Linked DNA regions of Nothobranchius furzeri. The protein of the gene in region 1 purifies or fractionates together with the protein of each later gene. This does not show direct contact. Links are inferred from orthologs where the notes say so. Each region holds a gene or a part of one and is shown on either strand. Other genes may lie near its edges. The genes, in order: pam16 and dnajc19.

Region 1 (4,595 bases):
CTGCTTTCATCTGTGAAGAGTAAGGGTGTCAGTGGTGAATTTGCCAATCTTGGTGTTCTGTAGCTAATGCACGGTGTTGGGCTGTAAGCACAACCCCCACCTGTGGACGTCAGAAGTAGCCGAAACTGTCAGCAAAATTAAATAAAAGCTTTGCTAATCTGTGACTTAGACAAGAACAAAAAATCAACACGAATAGAAAAGAAACAGAAAGAGCATAACAAGGAGTACTGCTCCTGTTCATCCTTGCACAAAGGTGGAGGTAGCAGTCCTGCTGCTGGGTTGTTGCCCTCCTACGGCCTCCTCCACACCTCCTGATGCGCTGGCCTGTCTACTGGCCACAGCTCACACTGATGAGCCATCCTGGATGAGCTGCACTACCTGAGCCACATGTGTGAGCTGCAGACTCCTCATGCCACCACTACAGTGAAAGCACCACCAGCATTCAAAAGGGACCAAAATATCAGTCAGAAAGCAGAGGAACTGAAAAGTGAAGAAGAAGAAAATATCTTTTCTATAGCGCCTCTCAAGATAAAAATCACGAGGCACTTCACAAAAACAAAAAATGTAAAAATATAAAAAAGAATTTAGAAAATGGTTAAAAATATATTTAAAATGAGCAAAAAATAGACAATTGTGATTAAAAAATGTTAAGAGAGAGAGAGAGAGTGAATAGGAAAGAGGGAAATCAGTGGATCCTGAGGAAGGTGGAATAGGTGGGGAGAAAAGAATAAAGAGAGAGTGGTGAAGAAGGTCACACAAAAGCCAGCTTGAACAAGTGAGTCTTCAGCTGCTTTTTAAAGGAGACCACTGAGTCCACTGATCTCAGGCTCAGGGGGAGAGAGTTCCAGAGTCTGGGGGCCACAGCAGCAAATGATCTGTCACCTTTGGTCTTTAGCCTGGTGCTGCACAACCAGTAGGCTTTGATCACTGGACCTCAGGGACCTGCTGGGGGTGTAGTGACTAAGAAGATCACCAATATAAGATGGTGCTTGTCCATGTAAGGCCCTATAGACCAGAACCAGGATCTTGAAATGAACCCTGAAGTTGACTGGCAGCCAGTGAAGCTGGAGGAGAAGCGGGGTGATGTGGGTGTGTTTGGAGGACTTGGTCAGAAGCCGAGCACAGGCATTCTGAACCACCTGTAGACGGTTCAGGGAGGTTCTGCTCAGACACGTGAAAAGAGAGTTACAGTAGTCTAAGCATGAGGAGATGAAGGTGTGGATAACTGTCTCAAGTTCAGAACGGGACAGAATGGGACTCAGCTTAGCAATGTTCCTGAGATGGAAGAAGGAAGAGCGAACAAGATAACTGACATGAGAGTCCAGGGGGAGAGCTGGGTCAAAGGTCACACCAAGATTCCTGACGGAAGGTTTGGTGTGAGAAGCAAGCAGACCAAGAGAGTCTCTGACTTTGGGAACCAGCTTGTCTGGAGCACAGATGTGGATCTCAGTCTTATCTTCATTCAGCTGTAGAAAGCTCCCAGCCATCCAGGTTTTGATAAGAGTCTAAGCAGGTGTGTAACAGCTGCAGCTTAGACATCTCATGGGGCTTAAAGGAGATGTACAGTTGGATGTCATCTGCATAAAGATGGTAGGAGATTCCTTTGAAGAAGCTCAGGATGTGCTGAAGAGGGAGCAGATAGAGGAGGAAGAGTAGAGGCCCCAGCACAGAACCTTGTGGGACACCATGGGTAAGAGAGGTGGTGGAGGACCTAAACTTGGAGATGGCCACAGAAAAGGAGCGCTCAGAAAGATAAGAGGAGAACCACTCCAGAGCAGATCCTGATAGGCCTATCCAGTCTCTCAGCCTCTCCAGAAGCAGGTGATGGTCAACTGTTTCAAAGGCTGCAGTCAGGTCCAGCAGGACCAGAACAGAACAGTCCCCTGCATCACTGTGAGCCAGAAGGTCATTAGAGACCCTAAGAAGAGCTGTTTCAGTAGAATGAGCTCTACGAAAACCTGTGCTCTGTGATCACCGCCTGCAGGACCACTTCTTCATTGGAGATGTCTTACAGGTGAAGTGCTAATAATTTCCACCTGTTGTCTTTTCCATTTGCACAACAGCAGTGTTGCTTCCTAAGTGGACAGTTTGATAGGGTTAGGATGCCATCAGCATTTGGATCATTATAGTCATGAACGGCAATATTGTGGTTTCTTCTGCTGAGAAACGTCTTTAGATGCTCATCAGAAAAGGTCAAACAGAAGGAGAGGACACAAACTTTAATTTAGTTCATTAAAGAACGTATATGAATGTTGAATCCTTTTCTCAAATGCAACCTATGATGAGTGGATAAAAACAAGACTAAAATAAATAAATTTCTCACTAAATATTACAGAGCACGCTCAGAGAGCTTCTAAAAAATGCCACCAGTGTGTGTGTGTGTGTGTGTGTGTGAGAGAGAGAGAGAGAGAATGTGTGTACCTTCTGGATCTCCTCAGGACTGAGAGTGGAGATGTTGAGGATCTGCTGAGCCTCCTGTAGACTCATCCCAGAGATGCTGGAGGCTGCAGCTGACTGCTGACCTGTCCGACCTCTGGCCCGAGCTGCTGCTTGACTGGCTGATGGAGGAGATACAAAGTTCTACATGATTACACACACAAATGCGCGCGAGCAATGACGGGTCGTACCTGCATATTCCTGTTGTAAAGCACGGGCAAAGGCTCTGCCCACCACCTGGACTCCCATCACTATGATCTGAGCCAGATACTTGGCCTGAATGAGATAAAGACAAAAGGAGGCGCGTGGCTGGTAGTTTATAGACTGGATGTCATTAATGGTTACGTCGCACTCAGGCTGAATACCCCAACACGACTAGCGCGTTAGAGACACTCAGCTAATATTCTGACATTTAAAAACCAAATCTGATCAGATAATGAAGCTAGCGCTGCAGCAAACCACGAATTAATCTCAAAACAACAGCTTCTGTTCACGTTTCAGTTTCAACAACAGACTATAAACGAGAACACATAAACGTGACCTTACCATTTTTAAATATAATACTTAGCCTCCGCGGAAGACGACAGTCTTGTATTCACACATGGGTACTGAAGGTTACCGAAGGAGGTCAAAGTTCAAGCAACATTACGAATTCAAGACTGGCCGTCTTGGTGTGACTATTAAGACAGCGACACCTGCTGGCGAGGAAGTCTAACTGCAGCCTGATGCTTCTAAGGTCACCTGTGCTCTGCTTGTAAAACAGTTGTTACGAAAATTAGAAAAGATGAAAGTATGTAAAACAAAAGACTCAAAAATACTTCATAGAGATAAACAATTCTAAAATTATACATAATAAAAAAAAATAAACAATTAAAAACTGATCCATCTTTCTCATCTGAACCGCTTCATCCTCATTAGGGGTTGCGGGGAGTTGGTGTCACTGGGCGAGAGGGATTTGAACCTGTGAACTTCAGCGCTACCAACCGCGCCACCGTGCAGCACAACAAAGGTGCAGTAAGCTGGAATCTGAGGTTTGATCCAGTTATATAAAGCATCTGCACATTTAACAAAACATCATGCTGTCTTACAAAACTTTGATCAAACCTGATGGCTGACTTCCTATAAGTTTTCTCAAACTGATACCATGTAGATCTGTTTCTTAAAAAGATTCTGATTAATTTGTCCAATAAATGAATAGCTGACCACCATACATGAATCCAAATCCTAAAGAACAAAACAAACTTAATGGTGACACTTTCAGATACGTAAGAATCTAAAACGTATAAAAAAAAGGTAATTAATTATTGAAATGCTTACTCCACACCATGTTAAGGAAATATTCATTACCATCTGCTGCTTTGTACAGTCTATGTTTGCACTCGAAAAGAGATAAAGGAAAAGGGGTGAACGTGCCTTTCTGTATGCAACTCCAGTACATGGAGTGTCCTGCCGCTAGAGGTACAACAGGCGTCTCCTGTGGCAGCAAAGCTAAAAGCCGACTTCTGTGCCCTGGCTTTCTTATGACGGTTTTAGTGTTTGGTTGTTTTTAACCTGTGAACTTCTTACATTTCATTATGACTGGTTTTGCCCCCCCCACACACACACACAGTGTTTTTAGTTTTTTATTGGTCTCTAATTTTTTTTTCATGACCCTTGTTGTACTGCGCGTTGGGCAGCTGACACGCTGTGGGAAAATACGCCTTATTAAAGTGGTATGGTATTATTCTTATACATTTGTTTCTAATATTGCTTTATTTAATAATGTATAAGGTAGTGTGTGTGTGTAGCTGTCATGTTAATTACACTGAAGCAATAGGAGCAGAGTTCATATTGTGTTTATTGCTAGAAGATTTAGAAAAAGTCCACAAATCATTACACTAGAAAGACAGGAAACATAAAACAAATCACTTTATAAAAACACACAATTGAAGGCAAGTAACTCCAATCCAAATACAACAATTTCTGAGCATCACAAGTACGTACAGTCAACACCAAATAAACTCACGTGGCACCTGTCACACGGCTGGCCCAACCGGATTGATCCAGTTCTTAAGAGAATGTAAACAAAAGCCGGGTCATCCGTGGGTCTCTGGTCTTATTGCTGCAGCCCTGAGTGACGACTACATGATGGAAGTTAAGAACACTGTACTGTTTGTTTC
Region 2 (4,342 bases), on another chromosome or scaffold:
CAACACAGCCCTACCACTGACTCGGTTTGCTCTGCAATGCTGATGTTACATCTTCACAAATAACACAAGTCTGGAGGAGTTCTGCTGTGTGGTGGAGTTGCTAATGCTAACAGTTAGCTTCTACTAGACGTTCTCTGGTGGACGCTAAACCAACAAAAGCCTTCCCTATTGCGACTCAAGATGGGTGAGTCCATGAGTGATAAGTGACAGTGTGACGTGGATCTGTCCGGCTTTTCTAATCCTAGAGTTTCACCGTCTTTTTTCTATCAGAAGCTAAAGGTGGAGATAGGTGTAGGACACTATTTTCATGCTCAGCCTGCATGAAAAACTCAGGGTGACCCGTTATAATCAGAAATAATCATTAAAAACATGTTTTTCAGTGTTTCACAACTTTAACTGCTAATGAAATTAGAGTTGTACAAAAGGGATTATGAAAAGATTTGGAGATATAAGAGAAATGAGTTCTGATGGGACAGAGAGACAAGAACATTAGAAAGTCAAATAATTTATGAGTCAATTATGTTATTTTTACCTCGTGTTTTTTTTAGTTTGATCAGAATTAAAAGTTACTGATTCATGCCCTCTGAGAATGATTTTCATCATTTGTGTCAACTTTATCATAAAACCATAAATAGGCATATGTGATTTGTCAAAACTGTTTAATTCTAAACAATATCATTAACCTGAACTCAAAAAAAATATTTTTGTAACGTTTTAGCTGTAACGGTGGAAAAAGTAAAGCTGGTCCCAAATCTTATTAAAATTGCAATAATATACAAACAGTGGCTAATATGGCAAGGAGCTAGAAAAGGATAACGAAGTTAAAGATGCAGTGTGTACAAATATAGTGAGAATTTTACAGTGAGAAAATTCCTAACTAGTTTCAGTCATTTTGGAAGGAAGGTTATACTGAAATATATTTCATATCCAGCCGGCTGCGGGGATTGCCAGTTTTTCTCCTTTCAAAGCAAAGGGAGGACGGAGGCAACTACTGTTTACCATCAGTGAGTGTGGAGGTGCCGTGTCTCCTGCGAGCTAATACTGCAGCGCCGCTGACATTTGTAATTTGCCTGCAACAAGCTCCAGGGTGGTTGTAGTAACCACATTTTACAACATGATATCATTTTTACTTCATTTCTACATAATGCTCCTTTAAAATAATCTGACAAAAAGTTAATTCTCAACATGAGTAAAAATCAAAATAAAAAGTCACTGATTTGTTTTCATTTTGTAAACAAACAAATGTTTCAAGTGTTGTACAGATTAAAAGTGGTAAAAAAAACTGTAGTAAAAGTGTATTTTTAAACAGATTTTACCTCCAAGAAGCCGGATTTGATTCCAAATTATTTCTCATAGGCACCACTAGCTAAAATCTGGAGAACAGCAGGCGAGCCGCTTTACGGCATTTTTACAACACTTCACATCCATTTCCGGTATAAACACATGGGACGTCTGAGCTAGCTAAACACAGGGGTCAAAAGTTATGCTCCTGTTCTGTAACAGAAACGGAACATAACACAGAGAAATGGTAGGTCGGACACATTATTTACTATCGAGACGGGTGTATGAAACGCCAGCGTGCTTGGGAGTGGGTCATAAACTGCGATAACCCTATTTTCATAGCTAAGCTAACATTAGCATTCCTAGGATGTGTGACCCAACAGGACTCTACAAATCCCTTGTTTAGGTTTTACCTAACGCAACAGCCAAATCACTGTTTCTGTGTTTAATGGGTGATTTTTTTTTTTAATTTAATGTGAAAGTAGCACTTACACATTTGCAGAGCAGTTTTGTTTACATTTGCTGCAGCAGAGAAGCTTGTGAGGCTGACTGACTACATCACGTTTCATTATTATTATTTACCTCGACAGGCCAGCTCCATGGTGGCAGTGGGACTGGCTGTGGCAGCAGCTGGATTTGCAGGTGAAATCAAAGACAAGTTTATTAGTATTTTAATATCCATTAACCAGAGCAGTTTGTTTACGTTTGATGTGAACTGATTTAATTATACAACTTATTTTTCTTCTATTAAATAATATAAACAACTTTCAAAAGTTGAAGATTATTAGGGTGAGAAGCTTGGTCATCCAAGAGGGGCTCGGAGTAGAGTCGCTGCTCCTCCACATCTAGAGGAGCCAGTTGAGATGGCTCAGGCATCTAGTTAGGATGCCTCCTGGATGCCTCCCTGGTGAGGTTTTCCAGGCATGTCCAACTGGGTGGACACCTAAAGGAAGACCAAGGACATGCTGGAGGGACTATGGGTGTTTCTCAATGTCAAGGCGCCTGGCCTTGCGAGGCGATGTCTTGCGAGGCCAGGCGCCTTGCTTACGAGGACACGGCCCTTCCTTGGTCAAAGAAAACAGTTAAATGGAACAGACTTGCGTCACGTGACTGCGGCTTCCACGGCGGTCGCGTAACGTCACGTGACACGGGAGATAACGTTATATTTTATATGTATTAGTTTAAATATAAATACATAACAAGCCTTTTACTTTTTAAATTGTGTATATGTTTATTAAATTATATTCAAATATATATTGTGTTTTCATGAATATTGTTTAGTATCTGTTGTGTTTTTTTTTTGAATGAAATAAAGATAGTAATAATAATAATAATAATAATAAATTAAAAATATAAGTGAGTTACTACACGCTAGCCACTGAAGCTGCAACTAATAAGCAACTAACCAACAATAGATAACTTCTTTGGATCTAAAAAAAAAATAAACATTTAAAATTAGCCGACTTACTTTTAAACTTGAAAATTGTACCAGAAGTAGCTGCCGGCTTCTAAACTGTCATCCTTTTGAAAATACTGCTGTGTATTCTGGGTAGTTTTTGACCAAGGCTAGGCTACAAAACACCTCTCGTGTATCCTCGCTCAGCTAGCTAAACGGCTAACAAACGGAGAACACACGCCTCGGTAGACCATGAACATTGGAACACGTCTTGGCAGCTCCCGATGACGTATCTCCTAGGCAACCGGGGCGGGGCCAAGACATCAAGGCAATGTTCCTTGGCATTGAGAAACACCCTATGTTTCTCAGCTGGCCAGGGAACCCCTTGGGATTCCCCCGGAGGAGCTGGCCCAAGTGGCTAGAGAGAGTAAAGTCTCGGCCTCTCGACTTAGGCTGCTGCCCCTGCAGTCAGACTCCGGATAAGCGGAAGAAGATGGACGACTGTTCTTATGGACTATATAAAGCAGGCATCTCCAAAGTGTGGCCCGGGGCCATTTGTGACACTTGGTGTGGTTTTGTGCGGCCCCCATTTGCATCTCTAGAAGTCTCTTCTGTAAGCTGTTGATGTAGATCGACACTTTCTAACATTTTTATGTTCAAAGTGTCCTTGATGAGCCTATTTCTGGAACAGTTTTGAGGAATGTAAATGAAAAAAAAATCACCTTAAAATGATTTGAGCTTTTCTAGAAGAAGACAAAACGACATATTTGAGGTTCCCGAGAACGTTTAACTTCAGTTTTGTTCCACATCTTCAAAAGTTCAGACACCACTGATCAGGGTATCTGCAGGTTTAAGGGAGCCAAATAAGACCTTTTTAAAGGCCACTTTGACCAAATTTAAGCCATTTTTTAAATTTTATTTCTGCTATAATTTCCAGCTATTGCCTGGAACCGGTGCTAACCACGTCGCAAACGTGGGATTAGCCATCCAGTTACCGTTAAACTTCCACTTCCCCATGGCGCAAGCTCCCACTAGCTTAACCAGCTAATGTGCTCATCTAAAAATAGCCCCCTTTCACAACCAACTGAATGTGTACGGTTCCGCTTACGCCAACCATCATACACAAAAAATGCTCATCACTAACTAGAAATTCACAAAAATCTCATAGAAATTAAATAATTTAATTTATTGGGTCTTTGGTAATTTAAGACCTTTGGAAACTGTATTTAAGGATTATTTGTCATTTTTAAGGATTTTCAAGGCCTTAAATTTGGAAAAGTAAATTTAAGACTTTTCAAGGACCCGCGGATTCCCTGACTGATTTAAAGGGGACAAGGTGTTAAAAAAAGGACACTAGTTCTTTGTCTTCAAGACGTGAGAAAGTGATATACGTGAAACGATCTCATGTCTGACCAGTAAAGAATCCTGGTGTGTAACTGAATAAAACAAAACAAAAATTAAGCTGTGAGTTTTTCAGATTTCTCAGTTAAAATTGGGATTATAAATTTACTTTTATAGTGACTTAGTGGTTCAGTCAGTGAACCTGCTGCTTTCTGAATGTAAACGAATGATCACTGTGGTGTCATCTAACAAAACAAGCATGTCAGCAATAAGGGAGAACAACTTTCCAAATATCTGCTGCTCACATCTGTTTGTCTACCAGGA

The links.
Region 2: the proteins of pam16 (region 1) and dnajc19 purify together in Homo sapiens (affinity purification with mass spectrometry; 3 studies listed by BioGRID and IntAct, with this or other methods). This does not show direct contact. The link is inferred for Nothobranchius furzeri from reciprocal best matches to the Homo sapiens genes PAM16 and DNAJC19.

What each region holds. Positions count from the first base shown.
Region 1 is NC_091752.1:57,765,272-57,769,866, forward strand, and holds the start of pam16 (mitochondrial import inner membrane translocase subunit tim16), read right to left. Parts: upstream 3,108-4,595; 5' UTR 2,986-3,107; coding exon 2,983-2,985; intron 2,713-2,982; coding exon 2,628-2,712; intron 2,559-2,627; coding exon 2,422-2,558; intron 1-2,421. UniProt on the Homo sapiens protein: Regulates ATP-dependent protein translocation into the mitochondrial matrix. Inhibits DNAJC19 stimulation of HSPA9/Mortalin ATPase activity.
Region 2 is NC_091748.1:72,976,392-72,980,733, forward strand, and holds the start of dnajc19 (mitochondrial import inner membrane translocase subunit TIM14), read left to right. Parts: upstream 1-1,403; 5' UTR 1,404-1,525; coding exon 1,526-1,528; intron 1,529-1,871; coding exon 1,872-1,923; intron 1,924-4,340; coding exon 4,341-4,342. UniProt on the Homo sapiens protein: Mitochondrial co-chaperone which forms a complex with prohibitins to regulate cardiolipin remodeling.